Linked DNA regions of Callithrix jacchus. The protein of the gene in region 3 interacts with the protein of the main gene of each other region in a pairwise test. Links are inferred from orthologs where the notes say so. Each region holds a gene or a part of one and is shown on either strand. Other genes may lie near its edges.

Evidence for each region.
Region 1: the proteins of DISC1 (region 3) and SRGAP3 interact in a two-hybrid assay, tested with the Homo sapiens proteins (2 studies listed by BioGRID and IntAct). The link is inferred for Callithrix jacchus from reciprocal best matches to the Homo sapiens genes DISC1 and SRGAP3.
Region 2: the proteins of DISC1 (region 3) and PGK1 interact in a two-hybrid assay, tested with the Homo sapiens proteins (2 studies listed by BioGRID and IntAct). The link is inferred for Callithrix jacchus from reciprocal best matches to the Homo sapiens genes DISC1 and PGK1.

The regions. Positions count from the first base shown.
Region 1 is NC_133516.1:66,189,396-66,195,201, forward strand, and holds part of SRGAP3 (SLIT-ROBO Rho GTPase-activating protein 3), read right to left. Parts: intron 3,875-5,806; coding exon 3,461-3,874; 3' UTR 1-3,460. UniProt on the Homo sapiens protein: GTPase-activating protein for RAC1 and perhaps Cdc42, but not for RhoA small GTPase. May attenuate RAC1 signaling in neurons.
Region 2 is NC_133524.1:75,880,286-75,886,680, reverse strand, and holds the end of PGK1 (phosphoglycerate kinase 1), read right to left. Parts: intron 5,442-6,395; coding exon 5,327-5,441; intron 5,006-5,326; coding exon 4,826-5,005; intron 3,194-4,825; coding exon 3,016-3,193; intron 2,759-3,015; coding exon 2,660-2,758; intron 2,296-2,659; coding exon 2,255-2,295; 3' UTR 1,827-2,254; downstream 1-1,826. UniProt on the Homo sapiens protein: Catalyzes one of the two ATP producing reactions in the glycolytic pathway via the reversible conversion of 1,3-diphosphoglycerate to 3-phosphoglycerate.
Region 3 is NC_133520.1:52,904,940-52,910,131, forward strand, and holds part of DISC1 (disrupted in schizophrenia 1 protein), read right to left. Parts: intron 3,947-5,192; coding exon 3,808-3,946; 3' UTR 1-3,807. UniProt on the Homo sapiens protein: Involved in the regulation of multiple aspects of embryonic and adult neurogenesis. Required for neural progenitor proliferation in the ventrical/subventrical zone during embryonic brain development and in the adult dentate gyrus of the hippocampus.

The sequences.
Region 1 (5,806 bases), on a different chromosome or scaffold from region 3:
CGCTTCAAGGTGAGAAATCGTTAGCACTGAAACAAGGAAAGGCAAGAATTTTTCGTAGAATCCCACAGCTCAGAGCAGCTCTTTAAGAGGAAAAGGGAATAAAAGGGGACAGGGCGAGTGGGGTAGGAAGCACAGCTTGTTCTCAATTTTATCCAGAAAGCTCTTTAGCGGCAGCTGGGCCATGAGGCCCAGGAAACTAGACCAGGAATTAATTGTCTTTGGTCAGTTTTAAATGAACTTGCTGGTTCATACCTAAAATAGACTGAACATCAGATATACGTAAAGACAAAAGGCTTGACCTCAGGATAAGTCGAAGGTTAAGAAATCATTCCATGAAGCAAAAAAATAAAAATTAAAAATGCCCGTTATCAACTAACTGATCAGTACGGTTTTCAATAATGGTGATGAACAAGTAGGTACACACCACTTCCCCTTGTACAACTGGTTATATTGAAGACTACTAACTAGGTTACTACATTTCCCCCACACGCACTGTACAGTTAGGTTTCTGGTATTTGTTTTTACATTGATCTATCTACTAGGTGCAAAGATTTGGTGAGTGGCATTGGCTAAAATTTAATTGTAGCCTTTTTAAAAATTACAATTTCACATTTTAACAGTTACTTTCCAGCATTTAAGCAAATACAGCAATATATAGTGGACTAAAACAGGCAGGAGTCAGAAAGAGAAAGCCAATGTTCAGTGAACGTTGATGGGACTGAGTGCTGTGGAGGGTGACTGAGACATGCATAGTGCCAGATGAGGAAATGGGAACAGGGGAGGGGGCGGGGAAGTATTTTCCCACTTGGGCTGCATCAGGGCTCAGATTTGGGCCTGGATGAGTGGGGAGACGTCTGCCATCTGTGTGTGCGCATCCCTAAATGTGAACTCATCAGCCATTTCCCAATGGAAAAAAAATAGGTGCTTGAAGAAAACAGCTAAGCCTCTGCCTTCAGAAAATTCAGTGAAAGGCAGATCCATTTTCAGTAAGAAAAAAACAAAAGCAGTCAATTCAGAGAAAAATCCACATGGTCTGATTGGTGTTATGTATATCAGGCAACAGATTTGTCTACTCCGATTGTTGCCTTTCATCTGATAGCTGTGGCAGAGATTGCTATATTTTGCCTGGGAGGCTACTGGATTTAGGATCTGGTAGAAATCAGAAGTCTTGTGTCCTGACTGGCTAGCATAGCGTCGAGCATGCAAACACATGACTTTAAGAGCCTGACACAGCCTCTGCTCTTAGCCAGTTGTCAAATCTTGGGCAGGTCAAAGCACAGCCCAAGGCCTTACTCTCTGAAGCGGTAAAATGGCAATATCTTTCTGTGCTCCAAGGCAGAGGGCCTTTCGTATCCAGGAGTTAAAGAGAAGGGTTCATTCTAGGCCAAACAAGGGAAGTCAAGTTTGACACTGGCCTCTCCCTGAGATCCTTTCTTTGTTCCTTTCCTGATGCTCCTTTTCACTGTGGGGTGACAAGTCCAGTCCTTCAGACAAGGTAGAATGGCTAATGATGGAATCCAGGGCTCTTATTAAGATGGTAGGAAAATTCCACTGCTCACTTCTGAAATGCCATTAAGAGGTTTCAAAAAGAAGGGCTGGAGGGTTCTCATCTTAACACTTACCTTACTAATGATAATCACAAGAGCATTGTATTGATTTAGTGCTTTCCAGTGTACACAGCTTGCTCACTGCCATTTTACCTTTATTATCCTATTTTATGAGCAGAAAAGCCAGGCTCAATGAGGTGGAATGCCAAACCCTAAGTCACAAGGCTCCTAAGTGCTCAGGGCTGGGACTCAGACTCTGGGCCTTTTGATTCCAAACTTCAGTGGCCGAGAGAGAGAGGAAGCTTGGGAAGAATAGGGAAGAGCCTCTGGGTCTGGCAGGAGGGGGTAACAGTGGCCCACAGGACACACAGATTCACCCTGTGCCATTTCATTATCCAGAAACAGCTCATCACTGGAACTGATCAGAAGAGGAGGTACAAAGAAATCAAAGGAGAGCGACCCAGAAGGGCTTCGCTCAGCCAAGAGGCAAAGGCCTTGCTGTCACACACGAAGATCATGCACCCATTCCTATCACCACATTTTCATCTACGCTAAATGTTCTGGAGGGAGTGGGTGAAGGGGAAGGGAAGGGAAGCTATGCCACTTGTTTTAACTCAACTGACAGTGTCCTTTAGGACAGAAAGTGCCAAGGACTGTCCCTCCCTGGCCCCAGTCTGAACTGGGCGCTCACGGCTCATGCGTTTCATGCAAGACGGCACCAGCCATAGTGCGTCACAGCCTGATTTAAAATGAAAACGATGTGACTCAAAGCCTCCTTGCCTGTTTAGTTCCAAATCTGACACAGTATAATTAGTAGAACCAGGAAAAGAAAAAATTAAATATTTTGAAAATGATATAAGTTAAACCTCTATAGTTACCACAGATTTATTCCTACAGCGTTTCTAGGTTTTGAAGTATTTCACACCACTGTATTTTTATTTTTCCCTTTTTCCCAACCACATGTAATACTGTGCTACAATGGGGCTGAGGTTCTCACTATCCCCTGCCTCTACACACAAACACAAGGATGTGGTGGTCAGGGGTCTTCTCGCCAACTTTCTCCCGTGCCTTCGGGGATACAGTTGGCCTTTGGCCTCCGGGTGGAAGGGCAGGGTCTCTGGGGTGGACAGGGGTGGGGATTTTCTATGAAGGGTTCCCCACCTCTGGGAGCAGCCTGCTTAGGGGTACTGCCTGCCCCACCCTTCCTTGAGGGGCAGACTGTTCTGGAAGGCCACGACTTCTGGAGACAGTGGGAGACTGTTTTTGTTTGTGTTTTTCTGCAGGTTAGTGATATATTGCTTCATTCGCAGTTACTATGGGCCTCTAAGTTCTCCCAGAAAAGTCCCTGCAAATCCCACCAAATAACTCAGTGGGAGATGTTTGGTGGCATGGGTCTGAGGTAAATCTAAGTTTCATAAAAAGAAAAAGGAGATACTATATACACTTAGTATGTGTGTGTCCAGATCTAGTATATGTATATAGATGCATAAATATATATATATATACACACACCTACAGACACATACATACATATACATGTGTATATATGCACACATCGATATACACACACATATAGGTATGTAGACAGAATGTCGAGAGAGGAAGTTTCCAGTGACGATATGCGGGAGAAGCCACGTCGCATGTCACCTCGATGTTAGGAGATGCTGTGGTTGGGGCTGCCGGAGTTCCGGCACTCCTCTGGACGTCTGCGGACACGCGAGAGGTCTGTGGGATTCCCACGGCTGGACGTGAACTGCAGCCAGCGCCTACCTCAGCTCTGCACAGACACATCCTCCCAGGCTGACCTCTGCCCTCCAAGGCCAGGGTCACTGGGAAGCACGTGGAAGCCACCGAGGCCACCCTGGGCCGTGGCGAGCCACAGTGGGCCATGACAGGGTGGCCCATCCTGCAGGTCACATGGTGCCTGACTTGTCCGCTGAGCTGTTGGGGAACATCTTCTCGGTGGGCGTCACGGCTGGGCTGCCCACGCCTGAGCTGCTGCTGCTGCTGGACCGGTGCTGGACCACCGGCCGCACGGGCCGCATGGGGGGTGGGCGCAGCTGGGCGCCCGCCAGGCGGGCGGACAGGGCTGGCTTGAAGGTGGTCATCATCTCGGTGGAGGAGCTGCTGCTGCGGCGCATGGCGGCATCAGGGTCGCGGATGACGATGGTGTGAAGGGGACTGGCGGGCTCCGAGCTGATGGGGCCTGGGGGATTCTTCAGGGGCTCCAGGGTGTCCAGCACCACATCTGGCGCCTGCTTGACCGTGTTCTGCCTCTCGAGTTCCCGCAACTCGTGCAGAGCTGTGCTCATGGTCTTCTCGATGTCCTGGGGACAGAGGGAGCTGGGGTCAGCAGCGTCTGGAGGCCTGGAGCCAGGTCCTTCCTGTCTGTTAAGCAGCTTCCCTTCTTAGGGAGGTTCCCCAGAAGCCTCGCAGCAGGGATGGAGATTAAGTCCTCAGGGTGTCTTATAACACATGAGAACCAATGTGGCTATCCCCTGCATACTGCCTTGCACAGGAAATAGATTTAATAAGGGCAGGTCAGACTACTGATAAAGAGGGCAGGCCCTGGAGTCAGACAGACACAGATTCAAATCCTAGCCTTGTCACTTCCTTGCTACGTGACCTTATGCAAGTTCCCTCACCCCTCTGAGCCTCCAGAATCCTCATTTGCAAACAGCAGATAATTATAATATGGACCTCAGGGAGTTGGTAAGTGCATTAAACGATACAGTCCCTGTGAAAAGCCTGGCCTGACCCCTGACACAGAGTAAGCACTCAAAACTAAAAATGACAATAGTAGCAATAAGAGCTAACACTGAGCACCAATCCAAACCCTGTCCCCTAATAATTCATTTAATTCTCACATTTCTAAGGTAGGATCCACCTTTATGCTCATATCACACGTGAGGAAACTGAAGCTCAGACTGGTTAATAATTTGCCCCAGGTCACACAGCTAAGTAACAGCATAGCCCAAGTCTGAACCCAGGCAGTTCAGTATTTTTTTTAATCCTTGCTCACAAAAAATTACTTGGAGATTATGTACCAGAATGTTCACAGTGCTCATCCCAGAATAGAGGGACTGCTACTCTCTTCTCTGTATTATAATCAGAAAATTTTGTTTTTTAAAAAAGTGGCAATTTTAACAGGCAAGAAAAATCTCCTTCTGCCTACATAATTCCTGAGGATGTTATGATATCTGAGAGTTCATCAGGAGGAGAGCACTCCGAAGGACTCAGAGAGAGAGAGAGAGACCCCCCCCCATCCACCCATGGCAGCCCGAGCTCACCATGCCAGCTTCCCTCAGCTCCCATCCCCTCATGTTCAAGATGGTGCAGTAGCTAGAAGGCAGCATTTAGCCAGGAGCCCATGGACAGGGCACAGGGCCCCAGAATTTTGAGTAAAAAGACTGTGGCCAGTTGCTGGCTGTGTGACCCTGAGCAAGTCTTGATCATTCCATACCATATTTTGTTCACCTATTACACTCCCAGAAGTTTACTGAGAAGATGGGCTGAGATAATGGATGTGATGAAGCTTTGCAAACTGCCAGACGGTGGTTTTCAAAATGCTTCTAGCCCAAGAACCCTGTGGGTTCCCATGACTGTTGACAGGGATGCCTCCACATCCGACAGACATGAGAGGACCTGCTCTGGCTCAGCCAGGTCAGAGCCCAGCTGGCTTGGCCATTGAGGGCATCGTGACAGATATTGCCTAAACCACCACTAGTAGGTGCTATGCATGACCTCATGTAGCAATGATGACTGTTAAGACAGGCTTGCTTTATTGCAAATCCTAAAAAAATACATATGAGTCTGTTGAAATGGATGGAGTGGGAGCCTAGAAATCCTGGGGCCGGCCCCTTTCTCCACCGTGGTCTTTTACATTCTCTCCTTCTCCTGTCTGCAGGCAGCTTCTTGCCTGCCCTAGGCCCCAAGGTAGACTTCGATCTGGCTTGGGTCAGGGCCCCAAGCTCTTGCCTCCCTCATTGTCACAGCCTATCCTTTTTGTTAGGGGACTATGGACGTCTGGCTAATGGCTAATATTAGCTTGTATGCTTCTCCGGAATGTTTCATCCCTTGCCCCAGAACACCAGCAACTCTAAGAAAGGTCTTTTGTGCCTTATCCAAAAGGAGGCGCTGTCGGAGCAATTTTCTGCAGGAAGGGAGGGAAGGCAGACCTCTCCCCATCTCTGCTTTCTGCCAGCCCTGCAGTGACACAGCCTGCTTTCCTGCAGCCGAGCTGCCCTGTCATCATCCAC
Region 2 (6,395 bases), on a different chromosome or scaffold from region 3:
GCAGGTACTCAAATTAAATGCCAAGTTGTTTATGACTGGCATTTCCCTCATTGATTCTCTAGGTTAACAACCCAAATAAATGGGGGGTGAGGGAAATCATGGAAGCTGAGTCCAGTAAAAAGTACTTAAAAGGTACTGTCAGAGATTGTTGGATGCATAACGTTGGCAATTGTAGAGTCTAGGTGCTAGGTTTATGAGTTTATGCTGCTTTCAGTTCCATTTGAAATAATTTTTAAAATGTTGGAGGAAAGGTAATCAGTAGGAACAAAAAGTCACAAAAATTGGACTAGAATTCCTTAGTACCCTTAGAGGTATGCAGAAACATGGTACAATTTAAAATTAACTACAAATATGGGTCCAGTATTAACTAAAATACAATGAACCAAGAAAAAACTTCACCTTTCAAAGTTTTGTTTAGAGCAACCAAAATTATCTTTTGCTATTCTATCCAGAGTTAAACAAAAAAGATATAGTCTAGAAGCATCATGTCAGGGAGGGAGGCACATTGGAAAAGCATCAGCCATTGGAACCAGACAAACCTGGACTTGAATCCCTGCTGTTACTTAGCTCTGTGATCCTGTCCAAAGTTTATTTCTTCATATCTAAAGGTAAAATATGTATCTTGCATGTAAAATGCCCAGCACAGAATTTCTGGTCAGACATAGCTTTTTCAAATGATGTTTACCTCTGCTCTCTCCCAAAACTCCATTAAAAGGACAGGAAAGAAATAGGAAGGTAAAATTATAAGGATGATGAAAGAATCCAAATGGCCATTAGATTCTCGACAGTGACAATGAAACAATGGCTTCAAGTCTCAAAAAGTGATACCCAGGCTAAAATTCTATATATAGCCAAACTAGGAATCAAGTATAAGGGTTGAATAAAGACATTTTCAGACTTACAAGATCTTAGAGATTTTGCCTCCCAGGCACCCTTTCTCAGGAAGCTAGTAGAGTCTTGTGTTCTACAAAAAGTAGACCAAGAAAGAAGGAAAAGGGGGAATTTAGATCAGGAGTCTAACACAGGAGGTAAAAGGAATCCCCAAGAAGGTTATAGGAAATCCCAGAGCAACAGCTGTACAACTTACCTAAAGGGCATCAAGTACAAATGGAAAAAAGAGCACCAAGGACTCCTGCAGGGATAGCTCTGACAAGGATTATTCAGTATGTTTTAATATATTGACACATGCTTCTGGAAGATTTGGGAATGAATCACTGATAGGTATACATAGAAAAGAATTTTTTTTAAACTCTGTTAACTCCAAAAAAAATAAAAGTTACATAAGTAAATTTAATCATAGCATACTGCATAGCTCAGCTGTATTAGTTATATAGACTTCTGATCTAAAATTGTTACAAAACTATAATGAGAGAATGAAGAAGTGGAAATATATGTGGAACAGAGACTTCTTCCATGGTATGAAATTAACAGATTTCTTTAAAAGAAAAAGAAAAAAAAAGAAGTGAACAATATAAGCATATTACTTAGAAACCTAGAGGTATATACCAGAAAAACTCAAGAGTTGAAAGTGGTCACCTCTGGGGAGTGGGAATCTTGAATGGGAAGAATGGGCTGGGGCTTTTTTGTTATAAGCCTTGACTTTTTAAAGGATGACCATGTATAACTAATAAAAGTAAGTTAGAATAAAAGCACTAAAACAATGTCTGCCACAAAGTAGGCCCTTGATAAAGAATAAACATTTATCTAATTGTCCCATCTCTCCACTGCTGCTGCCCCACTTCTTGCATTCAGCAATGTAGATATCTGATCCATTCCTCGAGATTCTATTCTCACCCTTCCTAACAAAGTATGACAGGAAAAAAAAATCACGGTTTCAATGGACACTTTTATTGTTTATTTAATGGATCATCAATTTCACCTCCCTGCCTACAAAGGCAATTTCATCTTGTTTCCATGCTGAGTAGTGAAACAGTAACAAAGCTAGTAAGAATAAGCTACATCAAAACTAAGCTAACACAGCTCACTAACAGGCAAAATATAAATATATGCACTCTAGAATGCACAATGGTTTAGTCACTAAGAAATTCAAATGGGATCTTGAAGAATGTAGGCATATCCAGGGTGCAGTAAAGATGAGCTGAGATGCTGTGCAACTGTTTAAGGGTTCCTGTCACTGCATCTCTTGGCCACTAGCTGAATCGACATGGAAGGTTTTGGCTAATGCCAAGTGGAGATGCAGAAAATGCTAAGTTGACTTGGGGGCTGTGCACAGGAACTAAAAGGCAGGAAAGTACTAAATATTGCTGAGAGCATCCACCCCAGGAAGGACTTTACCTGTTTTTGAGAGAGCACACATACACAAACAGCATTACTATAGGGCCCAGTAAGCCAGATCTCCCCCATTTATCTTCCCAATAACATGCCAGCTCTTTTTTAGGATATATGGCCAGGAGTTGAGGAACTTTTGCATTTTGGATTCCAGGTCTACTAGACCATAGCTCTCAGAACAAGTTTCTGTCTGTCCCTCCCCACCTCAATGGATGCCAGGAGCTTTATCTGAAGTTCCTCTGTACTGCCCAGCTAGTAATGACTGCTAATGACAACAGAACCTACCAACTTTCTCTACTCCATTTTACCCACCTCTCACTGCACAGTCCTACCCTTCTCCCAAGCAAGCCAAAAAACAAAAGAACCTCACCTTCCAGGAGCTCTAAACTGGCACCACCCCCAGTGCTCACATGGCTGACCTTATCCTCCGTGTTCCATTTGGCACAGCAAGTGGCAGTGTCTCCACCACCTGTTGAATGAAAGCCAGGTAAAAAGAGAAAAGAAAAAAAAAATGTTTGGCACCAAAACTGTAAGGCAGTGTGCTCTCTAACCCAAAAGATAGCTGATAGACCCCCAACTCTATCTTACCAAGAGGTAAATTATCTACCTGTTTAGCTCTTAAGATTTACCCAGAATGAAGAGACAGAAGAAGTTCTCTATTCTACCTTCCTCTGATCAGAATTCTGCCAGCTCATATTAGTATTACCTTTGTATAGGACCACTTACCTATGATGGTGATGCAGCCCCTAGAAGTGGCTTTCACCACCTCATCCATGAGGGCTTTGGTTCCCCGGGCAAAAGCTTCCCATTCAAATACCCCCACAGGACCATTCCACACAATCTGCTTAGCCCGAGTGACAGCCTCAGCATACTTCTTGCTGCTTTCAGGACCACAGTCCAAGCCCTGAGGGGCAGAGTTGAAAGAGAAGATGAGCTATCAAGAAAAGCTACTGAAACACCACCTCTACCAAGACCAGAACTCAAGGCTGCACACCAGAGTTTCTTCTAGAACCAAATGTTACCCTTCAGTCTTTAAAATTATAAACCTGTTCATGCCCTTTGTACTCAAAAATTCTACTGTATGGAAGAGCAAGTCTAAAGGAAAACCTCAAAAGTTATTTAATAAAGACATTCTTAGCCATACTATTTATGTTAGCGAAGACTAGATCAATGGTTTTCAACCAGGGTCAGTTCTGCCCTTCCACAATGGATAGACATGTGGCAATGTCTAGAGATATTTTTGTTGTTGCAACTTGGGAGGTTGCTACTGGCATCTAGTGGCCAAGGCTGCTTTAAACAACCTTACGATTCAGCAGTCACTCATAAAACAGATGTCAATAGTGTTGGGAATGACAGACAGTGAACTAAATCAGTCGTACTCAAATTCTGCCATGCATGAGAATCACCAGAAGGGCTTATTCAAAAAGACTGCTCAGCCCCACCCCCAATTTCTGATTCAGTAGGTCTGGGGTGGGGCCTAAGAACTTGCATTTTTAACAAGTTCCAAAAATGATACTGATACTGCTGGTCTTAGGAACACACTTGGAGAAACACTGAACTAAATAATACCTGAATGCCTGACAAAAGAAAAACTAAGCAAACTAGCATGTAAAAACATGTTACAATTTTATATAGCTATAAAAATGATATTCAGAGTACCCTAAAATCAACTATATTAGTATATACACATATATTCCTCCCTGCTTGTAATCAGTATACTTCTTAATCTTTTCATATGAGAAAGTTTTTTTTCTTTTTGAGACAGGGTTTCACCATGTTGGTCAGACTGGTCTCGAACTCCGGACCTCAGGTAATCTACCTGCCTCGGCCTCCCAAAGTGCTGGGATTACAGGCGTGAGCCACCACACCCGGCCAAGAAATTTTCTTATATAAGTTTCTAGGTAGCAAAATAATCCAAAGCAAACCAAACCACGAAAGTGCATAACACTATCTCCAGCACACAGTAAGTACTTTATACACACTAAACAGAAGAAGTAAAAAAACAGAAAAAACAAAAAATGGGCCGGGCACAGTTGCTCACGCCTGTACTCCCAGCACTTTGGGAGGGCGAGGCAGGTAAATCACGAGGTCAAGAGATCGAGATCATCCTGGTCAACATGGTGAAACCCCATCTCCACTAAAAATATTAAAATTAGCTGGGCATGGTGGCACGCGCCTGTAGTCCCAGCTACTCGAGAGGCTGAGGCAGGAGAATCGCTTGAACCCGGGAGGCAGAGGTTGCAGTGAGCTGAGATCACTCCACTGCACTCCAGCCTGGCAACTGAGCGAGACTCCATCTCAAAAAAAAAAAAGGTTTTGCAACATTACTGATGAAGACACCAGTAGTCCAATAGCACTGCTTTTCTCCTATGGATTCTCCCATAATAAGGGACTCACTGCAACATGCGGCACACTCTCTGACAGAGATCTCCTATAGAGATTGTTTTAAAATGCTTGTTGATTGGCTGAATCAATGAATGAATGACACCACAAAGTTTCTATTCACTCACACTACCAACCCACTCAAGTGACTCACCATCCAGCCAGCAGGTATGCCAGAAGCCACAGTGGCTTGGCCAGTCTTGGCATTCTCATCAAACTTGTCAGCAGTGACGAAGTCAACAGGCAAGGTAATCTTCACACCATTCTTCTCAGCTTTGGACATTAGGTCTTTGACAATCTTGGCTCCCTCTTCATCAAACAGAGAAGTACCGATCTACACAGGGAAGCCAAAATGATGAAGGTCAGCATCTATACTAAGAACAAGACTGCCTTGCAAAGCAGACAGGAACCACACACAATGCAATATAAAGGAACAAGGGAAAGACAAAAGAAAAACTTGCCAAAATAAATAAAAATGGGAGTTTTAGATCGCGCCATTGCACTCCAGCCTGGGTAACAAGAGCGAAACTCAGTCTCAGAAAGAAAGGGGGGGGGTTTCAGGGCTCATGTCAAAAGATCATTTTCTTTTTACATTTATACAACCTGCTATTATCATGGAGAGTTATTTCACATCCACTTGGCATTGGTTTCCTACCTCCATGTTGTTGAGCACCTTAAGAAAGGTAAAAGCCATTCCACCACCAATAATCATCTCATTGACTTTGTCCAGCATATTATTGATCAGCTGGATCTTGTCTGCAACTTTAGCTCTAGAAGAGAAAGTAAGAATCATCACTTAAAGAACAATGTACTAGAAAAGTGACATATTACATAGAACCTGAGTTTCTTTATCAAGGCACAGGAACAGAGAAATGTCTCAAAGTGACAAAAGTACTGCCTAACTTTGCCCTGTTTCTCCAACCCAAAAACTCAATCCATTTCTAAGAAATCCTTTTAAGGTATGGCTCCAGACATCAGTACATCTTTTTAAAAATTTCTCACCCAACTTACCATCAGTACATCTTTTTAAAAATTCTACCTAGAAGCTGACAGACAACAGATTTAAACCCATATTCTTTTTTTAAGTAGGGCTCAGAAGACCTACTCTTGGCTAAGGAATCTATGAGTTCCAAATATATCTATTTTTCACACTCCCCAACACACACACACACACGATTTAGAGAATCAAGATTGCTAATTATGTCTGAGTACGACTGCTAATTATGGCACCCTGGAGCCCACTCACAATTATCCTAACCTTACAGCAGAGATCAGACTGTATACCAAATAAATATAAACTGCACAAAAATAGATAATCCTAAAGTCATACCCTATGCTCAGTTGCTAGGACATCTTCTTTTTTTCTCTCTCTTTTCAACATGAAGTCTCACTCTGTTGCCAAGGCTGGAGTGCAGTGGTGCAATCATAGCTCAGTGTAATCTGGAACTCCTAGGCTCAAGCAATCCTCTCGCCTCAACCTCTCAAGTAGCTAGAACTACAGGCGTACAACACTACCCCTGGATAATTTTTCTTTTTTAATTTTTTTGTAGAGACAAGGTCTCACTATGTTTTCCAGGCTAGTCTCAAACTCCGAAGCTCAAGTGATCCTCCTGCCTTGGTATTCCAAAGCACTAGGGTTACACACATAAGCCACCATGTCCAGCCTGGGACATTTTCTTTATGGCATTTGTTTTTGTTGGATCACCCAATTCAATACATTTACT
Region 3 (5,192 bases):
AGTGTGGGAAGCCTCGTTTGCCCTACGCTCAGTTTCTTGGACTCCCCAGCCAAGATTTTCACAGTGGCCATGTGTTCTTAACCAGGTGAACAAATAAGTCCCATGGCTCAAAGTCTCAAAAGGACATTAAAGGAACTTTAGGAAGAGACTACTAGTTAAGGGCACGCTGCCTGTCTCTGACTGTTAGGTTCACTATTAATCCACATTTTAGCATCTCTGTGCCTTAGAAAAAGAGAATTGGTCCTCTTAAGGCTCAGTTGCATCATCCACAAACACCTTCCTTATAATGTTGATACGGGGATTATATGATACGACTGTAAAGAGCTTAGCATGGTACCACCCCTTACATGTTTCTGGGGTGGGGAAACCAGCCTTACTGCAGGGAAAGATGAGTTTCCAATGCTACATACTATTTGGAGAAGGATCGATTCAGTTTTGAAATTTCAGAAAGTTGGATGGCACTGGGACTGTAACTGCTAGACAGCATGTCCTAACTAATGCAGGTGAAAGAAAAAGTGGTGGCCATTTGAAAGCCAGCATTCCAGCGAGGCGGGCAGTAGAATATCTCACTTACTCTCTCACACCACATCCCAGTCAAATCAGACTCTAACTCATCATCTTCAATATGTGCTTTTGCTTGTGGTCTTAGCTATCTCCAACACAAATTTTTGTTGTTGTTTTAATGCTTTTAAATCTAAGTCCTAATCTCTCTCAGATATTTTTATGTTGCCCTGACAAAAACGGCCTTATACTATGGTTGGGGATACACAGTCCTGGGTCTTCCAGGGCTTAAGGCAGTGGCTTAAGGCAGTGGGGTTGTCCTGAGACGGTTGTGTAGCCAGAAGAAGCACTCTGGCTCTTAGCAGGCTTTCTGAATGACACTTTAAGACCAAGCAAAGACAACAGATGAGTTACAGCATGGGGTTGAAACATTAGGCCGGGCGCAGTGGCTCACGCCTGTAATCCCAGCACTTTGGGAGGCTGAGGCGGGTGGATCACGAGGTCAAGAGATCAAGACCATCCAGGTCAATATGGTAAAACCCCATCTCTACTAAAAATACAAAAAATTACTGGGCATGGTGGCGTGTGCCTGTAATCCCAGCTACTCGGGAGGCTGAGGAAGGAGAATTGCCTGAACCCAGGAGGCGGAGGTTGTGGTGAGCCGAGATCGCACCATTGCACTCCAGCCTGGGTAACAAGAGCGAAAACTCCATCTCAAAAAAAAGAAACATTACTCACCTGCTCAAATACTTCAAAATTTGCTGCAGGGAAATGAATACACTATCCACTGGAGGTACCAAAGAACGCTTATTTGGGGTTCAAATAATTCAAAGCAGTTATTAACTTGCAGAATTTTCAAATACACCATGACCTCACAGAATTACTTCATGAGGTGTCTAAGTAATACAAAACACTTGGGCTAGTGACTGTTAACATGTCTGGTGTCTGGGAGGCTTTTTAAAAGACATATGTCAAAGTAGAAATTTGTTATTGGCAACGTGGTCAATCCTGACTCTTCTCAAGTTTTGCTTCACTGGCATTAATTCAAGGATTCCAAGTGCCACGCGACTAGTTCATAATTTTCTTTAGACACAATTATAAATAATTCAGAAATTTGGTTCATCATTGAAAAATGAAGTCCAGGAACAAACTAATTATGCTTATTATTAAAATATGTAGAGTGTATTTTGCTTGCGATAAAGCCGCAGGGAACACAATCAGCACATTCACATATGGTGCTTTTGCTTCGTTTCCTGAACCCCAGCCAATTGCTGGCTTAAGCAGGGCCATCTCCTCGACTGAGGACAGAAGTGCTGCACAGTATGGAAGGCTCAGCAAAGCACCAGATGCCTTCTGGAAATGCCAGTGACTTCAGGAAATGACCAAAATGGCCTCGTATCCATGGATCCTAGTGAAGGCAGGAACCTCACTATCCCTGAACATATCAATGAGGACAGAAGCACAAACAGAACATTTACTGGATTAAATTTACCAATCTGCACAAGTTTGAGTGTGGTTTCTGAAATGATATAAGTCAGTGTTTGGACTAGGACTTCCTCGGAGAGTGCAGCGCTGACCAATACTAGATCTATGGGATATGAATAGGAGTTACATGAAAAAAATTCATGATCCATTAAACTTGGAAAGTTTGAGGTTAGATAAAATCAAGTGGCTTTCCTTATTATAACTTCTCTCACAGACTAATATGCTAATGTGTCCTGTGGCTCTCCAAGCAGATATGATGGTATGGTGTATTTACCAAAGGTACTTGACCAGAGAGGGGGACTCCTTTGGTTAGAGAGCACCTCTTGGGGCCACCTTCCTAAGTGCACTTTGGGAAGTGCTGCCTAATTGAAATCAGCCTGTTTTGCAGCTGTCTCAATAGGAGTCCCAGCTTGGCCTGCAGGAAGAGCCCAGCAGGAGCCCGCAATGCCCTTGCATTATTGAATACTGCACTGATTTACTGAGTACTACATTGGCTGAGTACTGCACTGTGTTACTGAGAACTGTGCTGTCCTACTGAGTACTACACTGTGTTACTGAGTACTGCACGGCCTTACTAAGCCCTGCACTGCCTTATTGAGCATTGCACTGTGTAACTGAGTACTGCACTGCCTTACTGAATACTGTACTGTATTACTGAGTACTGCACTGTGTTACTGAGTATTGTACTGCCTCACTGAGCGCTACACTGCATTCCTGAGTACTGTACTGTCTTACTATTGCACATTTCTGAGTACTGTACTGCCTTACTGAGTACTGCACTGCCTGAGTACTGCATTGCCTGAGTACTGTACTGTATTACTGAGTACTGCACTGTGTTACTGAGTATTGTACTGCCTCACTGAGCGCTACACTGCATTCCTGAGTACTGTACTGTCTTACTGAATATTGCACATTTCTGAGTACTGTACTGCCTTACTGAGTACTGCACTGCCTGAGTACTGCACTGCCTGAGTACTGTACTGTATTACTGAGTACTGCACTGCTTTCCTAAATGCTGCACTGCCTGGCATTGAGTGAAATATGTTCCATGGGAAAACAGAACAGGCTCAAACATTTCATTCGGGTCTCCTGATCCATTCACAGCCTCACTACAGGTAAATTACAGAATGTCCTGATGAAACAGAGACTCTCGAGGATCCTTTCTTCAGATGTAATCATTGCCACAAAAGGAAACTGAAAGGTGGCATATCACTGACAGGCTGCTGCCTAACTAAAATATCTTTTGGAAATTGCATAGTAATTTTTCTAAGATAATATTAGATCACAGGAGAAGTAAGGTGAAAAGCTGTTAATTCCAGACTCTGAGGTTAATTAGCTCTCTTAGTGGTGCACCTGTAGGAACGTGTAACAGGTAGGATGACAGAGTCTTATGCTTGGTTTCCTTTTTATAGAATCTTGAATCAGGAAATGTTTTAGTTACAGCAGAAGGCAAATGGTGTAGAAAAAAGAGATATTTTTTTCCAGAATTCACCCCAGCTTCTCTCTACTGGGGATTGAAATGAAAATATTCTTGAATCCTGTGCAGGACATTCCCATGAATGACATGGCAAAGAAAATTTTTAATGACATTTAGAAGCAAATTCAGCAAATCAGTCTCCCTCTCCATATTCCAATTTGCAGACTCCTCGGTTTCTGACTCATGAGAATGAACATGAACCACCTTTCCACTGAAAGACATCAAGGCTCTGTGTCTCCATAATTGATTCAGGCACATTAGTTATGCAGTGGGAAGGGAGAGTAGACCCCCGGGTCCAAACTGTTGACATGGTGGCCCACCTCCCTCCCCCATCCCGTCACTCCTCAGGCTTGCACTTCCCGGACACCAGCTGTCATGCAGGAAGCTGCAGCTTCTCTTTCCCCCGCCTCCTTTGCTGGCTGGAGCTGCAGGATCATGGCCTGCAGAGTTTCCTTCACCATCTGGAGCTCCCTCTTGAGAGACTGTGGGCACGTTGTTAAGGAGCACATCCGAAGGTGATGGCGGCCCTCTGCAGCCTCCAAGGGATGGAAGAGCATGTGAGCCCCCTGGAAGCAGATGGGCACTGCCATCTAATTGCAGTTTCAAGTTCTTTCAAATTGTAGGAATTAAATATTAATACAAATTTTACACTTTTTCTTTTAAGAATAATTGCAATTTCTACAATGCCTGAGGTACTGACTATCTCAAATCAGGTCTTAAAAAGGAAATGGAAGAGTAAGCTCTTAGCTGAGACAGATGGCCACCTCAGATGCTCAATGATCTGTGGTTGGCAGGACCATAACTCCGGCTAAGCCCCAAGTTGGGGTGGGGCAACTGTCAGATGCAAATACTCTTGATAGTGGAAAGTGCTTGAAATCAAAATCTCCTTGAGAAATACAGGATTTGGGGTCACCTAAGTAGGGAGAGGAATACTGGACCAGACTCAGCTATTAACCTGGTCCCTGTTCACCACTAACCAGCCTTGTCACCTTATGCAAATCAGTTACAGCCTCAGTTTTCTCATGAAACGATGACTTTGAAATCCCTCTGGGCTCTAACCTGCTGTTATCTGTTAGTATATTTCCAGGGACTTGACAGAGTCCTTCAAAGGGCAAAGAGAGCTCCCTGTTTCTGGGTTGGTTGGTTGGTTCTTTTTTCCTTTAATTGTTGAGATCTTAGTTTTCTAACCTATAGTTATTTCTCACATGGAGAAAACAATCATAGAGAACTTAGCAAATAGTCATAGATAAGGCTGTCGTTCTCTTAAGACATGGGTTCTCATCTGGGTGTTCAAGCGGGGGAATGTTTGACCAATCGTGGTTTAGTGGTTTTTCTGTCCATACCTCATCCAGTTCATCCTTTCCCTTTTCCCTTGTAGTCAGAACAACTCCAAGGCAAATGCAGGGTGAGAGTTGGGTTTAACAAGCAAATTGGTCCACTCTTATCCTACAGGAGCCAAGGGAGAAAGTAGAAATACGTTGATACCACCTAAACATGCTGAAGTCATCACATAAAGCCAGACCACTCCAACAGGACTAGATCAGACATGGAGGGAATAGAGAGCTTTGGGAAAGGAGTCTGACTGCTCACGGACCACCTACACTACAATGTGGTTTTCCCAAAGTGCAACGTCAATGCAGTGTCAAGAGAAACAGACGCCCTTACGAACCACTGTGGAAAGCGTTCCCTCTCTTTTCTTTCTTTCTTTTTTTCTTTTTTTTTGAGACAG